Arabidopsis thaliana: one gene and its partner. The protein of the gene in region 1 interacts with the protein of each later gene in a pairwise test. Each region holds a gene or a part of one and is shown in the gene's direction. Other genes may lie near its edges.

Region 1 (3,883 bases):
AATCTTAAGAACAGTCCATATTAATGCATACTAACCACCCATGCGATACATTCATCGTATATGATAAATCCTTCCAATTGCATTTGCACACATACATAAAGTAGGATATGTGTATATATAAAACATATACAGGCATAACATATAATAGATTTTAGAAAGAAAGAAAAAATCACAGATAGATCATCAAATAATTGCGTCAGATAATATATCCTGAAAAAAAAAAACTAATTAATATTATCCTTGTTATGGGCATAAAGCTTATTTAATGTCGGTTTGCCTTATTCTTCCTAACTAAAGAGTAAAAAGCCTTATAACTATTTCTAAAACAATAATATATGTGTTATATTATTTTGTTGTCTATGAAATCTATAGATAATCGTAGTGCGGTAACAATAAGACCAATCAACAATCAAGTTATATCTAAATGCTTGAAATGTTGATACGGTGGTTCCCTATTTTGGCTATGGTAAGTCGTGCAAGTCGTAATATATACCTACATTAATTAAAGTATAATGTTAAAGTTCAATGTATTTGAGAAGAAGAGAATTGTCTTCCATAACAGACGAACATGGTTTGATTAGGTAGCGCCATGTTGCAAGATATGTACGCGTGTTAGCTGTTTTTGGTATTTAGACAATTTCATATCATCATTAGTCAAAAGAAAGAAAAAGTTTTAAGAGTTGAGATTTACAATTACGTTACTACTATAAGAAAACAGACGACATTTTAGAAACCCGTTAAAATTCAAAATTTTGACGGAGAATTCAACCGTTGGATTTAGAGCATCAAAATTAAAACTTCCATAAAATTTGTCTGAATTTTTTGATAAAATTTATCGGTCATATTTTAGCAAATCTCCTAAAAAAATTGGTATACTATCAATTATTTATGGAGTTTTTGCTTTGAATTGTTAGTTTATCACTTATTATTAGTAATGGATTTGCAAACGATCTTAGGTTTGGTCTACACCTCTCTGATTAAAGACTTTTTTATACAGCTTTAAAGAAGTTTGGAGTAAACGGCATCGTTCTTCACCACTGCTCGTGTCAGCTTTTTTAGTTGTGGTCTCCTTTTCTTAAGGCCACTTTAACCGTCAACATGTATAGTCAATAAACATTTTTGAGTTAATTAGTGGAGTAGTTGAGAAGTAAATAAATTAAGCTAGTCATAGTTTTTTTTGCAAAAATTTGGTAGTAGAGTAACTTTTAAGATTGTAAGTTGATAGTTTTTTCGACATAAGATTGAAGACAAACCATGAACTATAAAACTAGGGAAGGTCGAGATTTTAACATTTTTGGATAAACATTGCTTTTGATCAACAATACGAAATATTAACTTTTGTCTTTAGTTAACATCATTGAATCAACAACCCGAATCAACCTTAATTATATTCATGCTTTACTTCCACACGAAATTTTCAGCTTAAATAAGGAGAAAAAAAAATAAAAAAAAATAACGAGAAATAATAATAATTGAAATTTGAAAGGTAGCAAAAAAGATTAATATTGATATAAAATTGGAGTATATATTATTAAAGTTGTCAACGTCATGGAGATACAAATTTAGCAAAAAGAAAAAGACATGACTCACATTAGATGCTGTTCTATGAACTCTATTTATTAGCCTATATTTATTACACTTATCTTTTTTCATTAACCCTAGATGGGGTCAACAAACCATGGTTAAAAAAAAATATTCAACCAAAAAAAAAAAAACACATAATGATTATGAATCTCAACCACACAACTTGGATTTCTCATTATCAACAGTCTTCAACTTCTCATCTCTTTCTTCCTCCATGAGAGACTTGAGTAAATAATACATAGTTTTAAATTTCCCCTTTTCTAATCTTATCTCTCCCAAATACATAAACCCATCCCAAAGATTTCGAGTTTACAATTTAAAAACAGTTTTGTTTAGTGCAATCTTTACCTTATCTTTACTTCTATCATCTATTCTTCTTCTTCCTCCATCTCTAGAAAATTATAATACTTCTTGTTTCTTAAATCTTATTTGTATTACAATAACCAAAACCCAAGTTTACAAAACATTTCTTCTTCTTGTTTTTCGAAACCCTAAATGTTTTGAGTTGTCATGGATGTAATAGCTACTACAACTACTATAGTATCCGACTTGGATTCACGACAACCCGAAATCGAAGCTCCGATCCGGATCCAGCCCGCGAAGCCTATTTCTTTCTCAAACGGCAAACGCTGCCACCACCATCATCTTGCATCTGAAGCGGTTGCGGTTGCGACTTATAAAGAATGTCTAAAGAATCACGCAGCAGGTATCGGCGGTCACGCTTTAGACGGATGCGGCGAGTTTATGCCGTCACCGTCGTTTAACTCCAATGACCCCGCTTCACTAACGTGCGCTGCTTGTGGTTGCCACCGTAACTTCCACCGCCGTGAGGAGGATCCATCTTCTCTCTCTGCCATCGTCCCTGCGATCGAATTTCGACCTCACAACCGTCACCAGCTTCCTCCACCGCCTCCTCCTCATCTGGCGGGGATTCGTAGTCCAGACGACGATGATTCAGCTTCTCCACCGCCGATCTCGTCTTCTTACATGCTTCTCGCACTCTCTGGAGGAAGAGGAGGAGCTAACACGGCGGTTCCAATGTCTAGGAAACGTTTTAGGACGAAGTTTAGTCAGTATCAGAAGGAGAAGATGTTCGAGTTCTCGGAGAGAGTTGGGTGGAGGATGCCGAAAGCTGATGACGTGGTGGTTAAGGAGTTTTGTCGGGAGATTGGAGTTGATAAAAGCGTTTTCAAAGTGTGGATGCATAACAACAAGATTTCAGGACGCAGCGGCGCTAGAAGAGCTAACGGCGGAGTAGTAGTAGGAGGAGTAGGAGATAGTCGTCAGAGTGTTGTTCCGACAAATGGGTCGTTTTCTTCGACGTGAGGAAAAGAATGGAAAGCGTTGAAAAAGCGTCGTCGTTTTAGAGGCTAATTCTTTTTTGGTTTTTCTTCTCTGTGTTTTGAAGATTTTTTATTTTTAGTCAACGGGTCAAAATCTTTTTTCTATTCCACTTTGTTTTGTTATGTCTTGTAGTTTGTACTCTTGTTAGTAGTTTATCTTTGTTAGAGAGGTGATTTGAGTTGTATCTTTCGACCAAATGTGAGAAGAAAGATAAATGAGTAACCTCCTAAAACCGAATAACAAAGTCAATTAATCCAATTGTTTTCTAAATTCTATATCAGTTTGCTTTTTTATTTTTACTTTTTTTCTTTATATAGAAATTTATGAAAGAAATGAGGGAATTTGTTGCAATTATGTGACATTACTAGATTTTTAACCCGCGGTATACCGCAAGGACAATTTTTTTTTTTTTAAGTTAGTATATATAAAAGTTTACAAATTGTATCTATCTATAAAATATTTTTATTTTATAGTTTACAATTGTTATTAAGTAAAAAAAACTATTTATTTTATTAATGTTGATCTTATTTATGATATGTTTATAAATCATTGTCTAAATATTTTGTAATTTTGTAATAATTAACTGCTATAAAATATCTATGTGGGTTGATGCGTATAATGGAATTGTTATAGTCATGCAAAAAAAGCAATATCAAAAATGATAATTTTGTAATTTTTAAATGATGTTAAATATTTTAGAAGTTTTATTTTAGTAACTAATCGTGTAGTTATTGTAGAGAGATTTTGAGAAGATAGTTAAATGTCAAATATTTAATTCGAAAATTTACTTTCTAATTATCAAAAATAATTATTAAATGCCAGTGACAACCACTGTAAATAAGTCTCAACTTGAAGATTTATTTCATATAGTGGCTGCAAAAATGTATATGTAGATAACTCAAAAACATGAAAACACAGTTACTATTTTGTGTGTTTATTTTCGATGCTAGTAGTT
Region 2 (3,810 bases), 9.8 Mb from region 1:
AATTTTGATATATTGTATGTAATTGTACAACATACTCAATCATATGTTATTACTTCTAATAATTTGAATATGGACATACTCAGAAAGGTATCAAGGGCTCTTTCTCTAGCTATTGTTTCTCATATAATCTTTTCAAAATCATATATCATCACCAACTATACTCATCATTCTCGGGTACTATGAGCTCTAACTAGTGGAATGGTACTAGAACTTTGACACACCGTCTAGTTGAGATTATAGAAATTAAAGATTATGTTATATATAGTAGAAACAAAGTAGGCCAAATTCTTATAGAAAAGAATAAACAAAATTAATATAAAAGATAAATGAAAAAACGGTCTTGAATTATAAACAATTTGCTAGGTGTGATTCAACATTGTCTTTATTCAATACTTGTTGGGTCATAAACATTCAAATTGCATATTATTGTTACTCTAGTATTCAAATTGCATATTATGTTTTATCTAAACTAACTTATATATTTATTTTGATAAACATGTCATATGATATTAAACTTATTTTCAATTGATCATCTTCTAAGTTGATGCATTTTAGTATTTTATATTCAAATTTTGAGATCTTAGTATGTAATATATTTTCAGGTTTTTACTATTCATCAGTTTGATGATGCAAATATACATAGTACGAATAAAATGAGTGAAATTGTTTAATTATATGATCAGGAAGAAAAAATAATATTCCAAAATCCAAATTTTAGTGGGTAATTCTTAGCACAAAAACAAATTTTGTTTCCAAATATATCACATATTTTTCAATGTTCCACAAATAGCATTAATTGTTGAAATTTGTTATGAATAAGAATATGTTCTATAACATTATATGAATTAGAATTATCAATAGATAAAGTGTGTCAACTCAAATCGCTAAATTGTTGAAAACAATTTAATAATATATTCATTTAATATATTCTCATGTCAATATGATATGATTAGATCTATTTAGTGAGATCTTATTTAATTGTTAATTCTAATAAAACAAAAATAGTGATTATATTACTAATAAATAATATAATTGTTTAATCTTATTTTATGGAACTGTATTTCTCAACTTCAATTAAATACTGTACCTAAACCTAAAATTAAATATGCAATCAACTTGATTAATAAAAAACAACAAAATGGGGTAAGAAGTAAACAACGTTGTTAAACAAGACACGCGCTCACCAGTCGCGAGTTTGGCAATAATCATGAAATGAGCTTCTTTAAAAAAACTTTCTAGTAGATAAATTAAACAATTAAAAATCTCCGACAAGATTTAACAAAGAACAGATAATATCTTCTCCGCAAAGACAAAAGTGAAAGCGAAGAAGAAATCCTCCACGTGTCATTAGCATCTTTTAACCTGAGCCACATGATACTAGTTTCTCGAAACCCCTCTTTACGCTTTTTCACCCAAATTTTTATAAAAAGAAAAACATTATGCTTACGTGGCTTATCTTCTTCTTGCTCTTTTAAAGTAACCCCTTGACTCTGCTCCTTTCATAAACAACAACTCTCTCACCAATCTCAAAACAATTCTCTCTCTCTTTATTCTTCTTCTTCAGCTTCAGATTTCAGATCTTAAATCTTCAAGTCTTCTTCTTCTTCTTCTGCAACCATGGCTATGCAGGTTTGAGATCTATCTTCTTTGTTATTCTTTATGCAATCTTGATCTTGGTTTTGTTACTGTTGTTATGTTTCAAGTCTTGTGGAATCCAGACAGATTTAACCTAAACTTAGGTTTATGTCCGAGAGAAAATAGGTTATTTTGTTATCTAATTTCAAGTTTAATCTCTTTGTCTGAGAGAACTTGGAACTGAAGATTATTCGATTGTGGCAGGTTAAAAATTGTGTTAATAGACCAGGCGATTATGTGGGATATTATGGTCGGTTGTTTTAAAGAGAGATTACTTCTTTCTTAATGTATTGATCCGTATTAGGTAAGAACATGTCTCTAATCCCCTAATTATTACTGGTGGTCTACCTCTTCTAGTTGCGTATTAATTAGTTTTATTAGACTCTTTGTAACATTTAATTACTCTTACAATATATTAAGAGACTAATTGTGTTTTCTTACTTTGTGATTATAGGAACGTTGTGAGAGTTTATGTTCTGATGAACTTATATCTTCCTCAGATGCCTTTTACCTCAAGGTACTAATTTTGTTTCTTAATCTCTTGTTTACTCTTGATTGGTTTTGAACTTAAATATGAGGTTAATTTAGGGTTTGTTTTGTTTATAGACAAGAAAGCCTTATACCATCACTAAACAAAGAGAGAAATGGACAGAAGCAGAGCATGAGAAGTTTGTAGAAGCATTGAAACTCTATGGCAGAGCTTGGAGACGAATCGAAGGTGTGTGTGCTTATCTGACTTTAGAGAGTCTAATGCACATTCTAATCTAAGTTTGATGAAGATATAAGAAAACTACTTGGACCCTAGTAATGAGTAGAGATCTGACTTTTGTTGGTTCTTCTATGGAACAGAACATGTTGGAACAAAAACTGCAGTTCAGATTCGAAGCCATGCGCAGAAGTTCTTTACTAAGGTTTGCCTTCTTGCAGACCCTTATACATGAAAAAGTTTCAACCTCTTCGTGTTAAGCAAGGTCTAATTCAAGTTTTTCTTATTAGGTTGCTCGCGATTTTGGTGTTAGCTCTGAGTCCATTGAGATCCCGCCTCCAAGGCCAAAGAGAAAGCCGATGCATCCTTACCCTAGAAAGCTTGTGATTCCTGATGCAAAAGAGATGGTATACGCTGAACTAACCGGATCCAAGCTGATTCAGGATGAAGATAACCGATCTCCAACATCGGTTTTATCAGCTCATGGCTCAGATGGATTAGGTTCCATTGGTTCAAATTCACCTAACTCTTCTTCAGCTGAGTTATCATCTCACACAGAGGAATCATTGTCTCTAGAAGCAGAGACCAAACAGAGCCTTAAGCTCTTTGGAAAAACTTTTGTAGTTGGTGATTACAACTCTTCAATGAGTTGTGATGATTCTGAAGATGGCAAGAAGAAGCTATACTCAGAAACACAGTCTCTTCAATGTTCTTCTTCTACTTCAGAAAACGCTGAAACAGAAGTGGTAGTGTCGGAGTTCAAAAGAAGTGAGAGATCAGCTTTCTCTCAGTTAAAATCGTCGGTGACTGAGATGAACAACATGAGAGGGTTCATGCCTTACAAAAAGAGAGTAAAGGTGGAAGAAAACATTGACAATGTAAAATTATCATATCCTTTGTGGTGAAGTGTTCGTTTGTGTCAAGTCAGTTGTGTAAACTCTTTTGATCTCAACATCAGATTATGTGTATAATGTCAGAGTATTAGGGAAAGTTTTTTTGGATTAGATTCGTAAGATCACTCCAAAGTTTCGTGTCTTTCCATATAACCAGTTAGAAATTGAGATCCTTGTACTTAAACATTTTTATTTGATCAATCAAATCTTCTTGATAACTCTAAATTGTTGTACATAATAGTAGTCTCTATCAAGCATTTCATTCGAAAGGATTAACAAAAAAGATTAGGTTTACAAAAAATACATCAAAAGCAAATGTTTGAAACATAGAAACAAGTAATGCATCATAAACCCTAAGACTAGCTTCAAGTCTCTGTGACGGTTTCACTCTGTTTCAAGATCTTCCTCGTACGGTACTCGTCGACACAAAGGACACGACCTCTGACGCTTAAGCCACTCAAAGATACAATTTTGATGGAACAAATGGAAACAGTCAGGTAACAGAATGATGTTATCATCATGACTCTCCGAAAAGTCCTCCAAACAAATCGAACAAGTGGTTTCTTCTTCATCTCC

Evidence for each region. Proteins that work in one complex are often made in the same cells at the same time.
Region 2: the proteins of HB30 (region 1) and RVE2 interact in binary tests that used the Arabidopsis thaliana proteins (3 or more experiments, as listed by UniProt).

The regions. Positions count from the first base shown.
Region 1 is NC_003076.8:4,936,901-4,940,783, reverse strand, and holds HB30 (homeobox protein 30), read left to right. Parts: upstream 1-1,576; 5' UTR 1,577-2,094; coding exon 2,095-2,910; 3' UTR 2,911-3,319; downstream 3,320-3,883. UniProt on the Arabidopsis thaliana protein: Putative transcription factor.
Region 2 is NC_003076.8:14,750,780-14,754,589, reverse strand, and holds RVE2 (Homeodomain-like superfamily protein), read left to right. Parts: upstream 1-1,501; 5' UTR 1,502-1,617; coding exon 1,618-1,629; intron 1,630-2,089; coding exon 2,090-2,152; intron 2,153-2,241; coding exon 2,242-2,353; intron 2,354-2,484; coding exon 2,485-2,546; intron 2,547-2,631; coding exon 2,632-3,246; downstream 3,247-3,810. Other genes in the region: AT5G37250 (RING/U-box superfamily protein), read right to left, coding at 3,619-3,810. UniProt on the Arabidopsis thaliana protein: Positive regulator for cold-responsive gene expression and cold tolerance. Part of a regulatory feedback loop that controls a subset of the circadian outputs and modulates the central oscillator. Negatively self-regulates its own expression.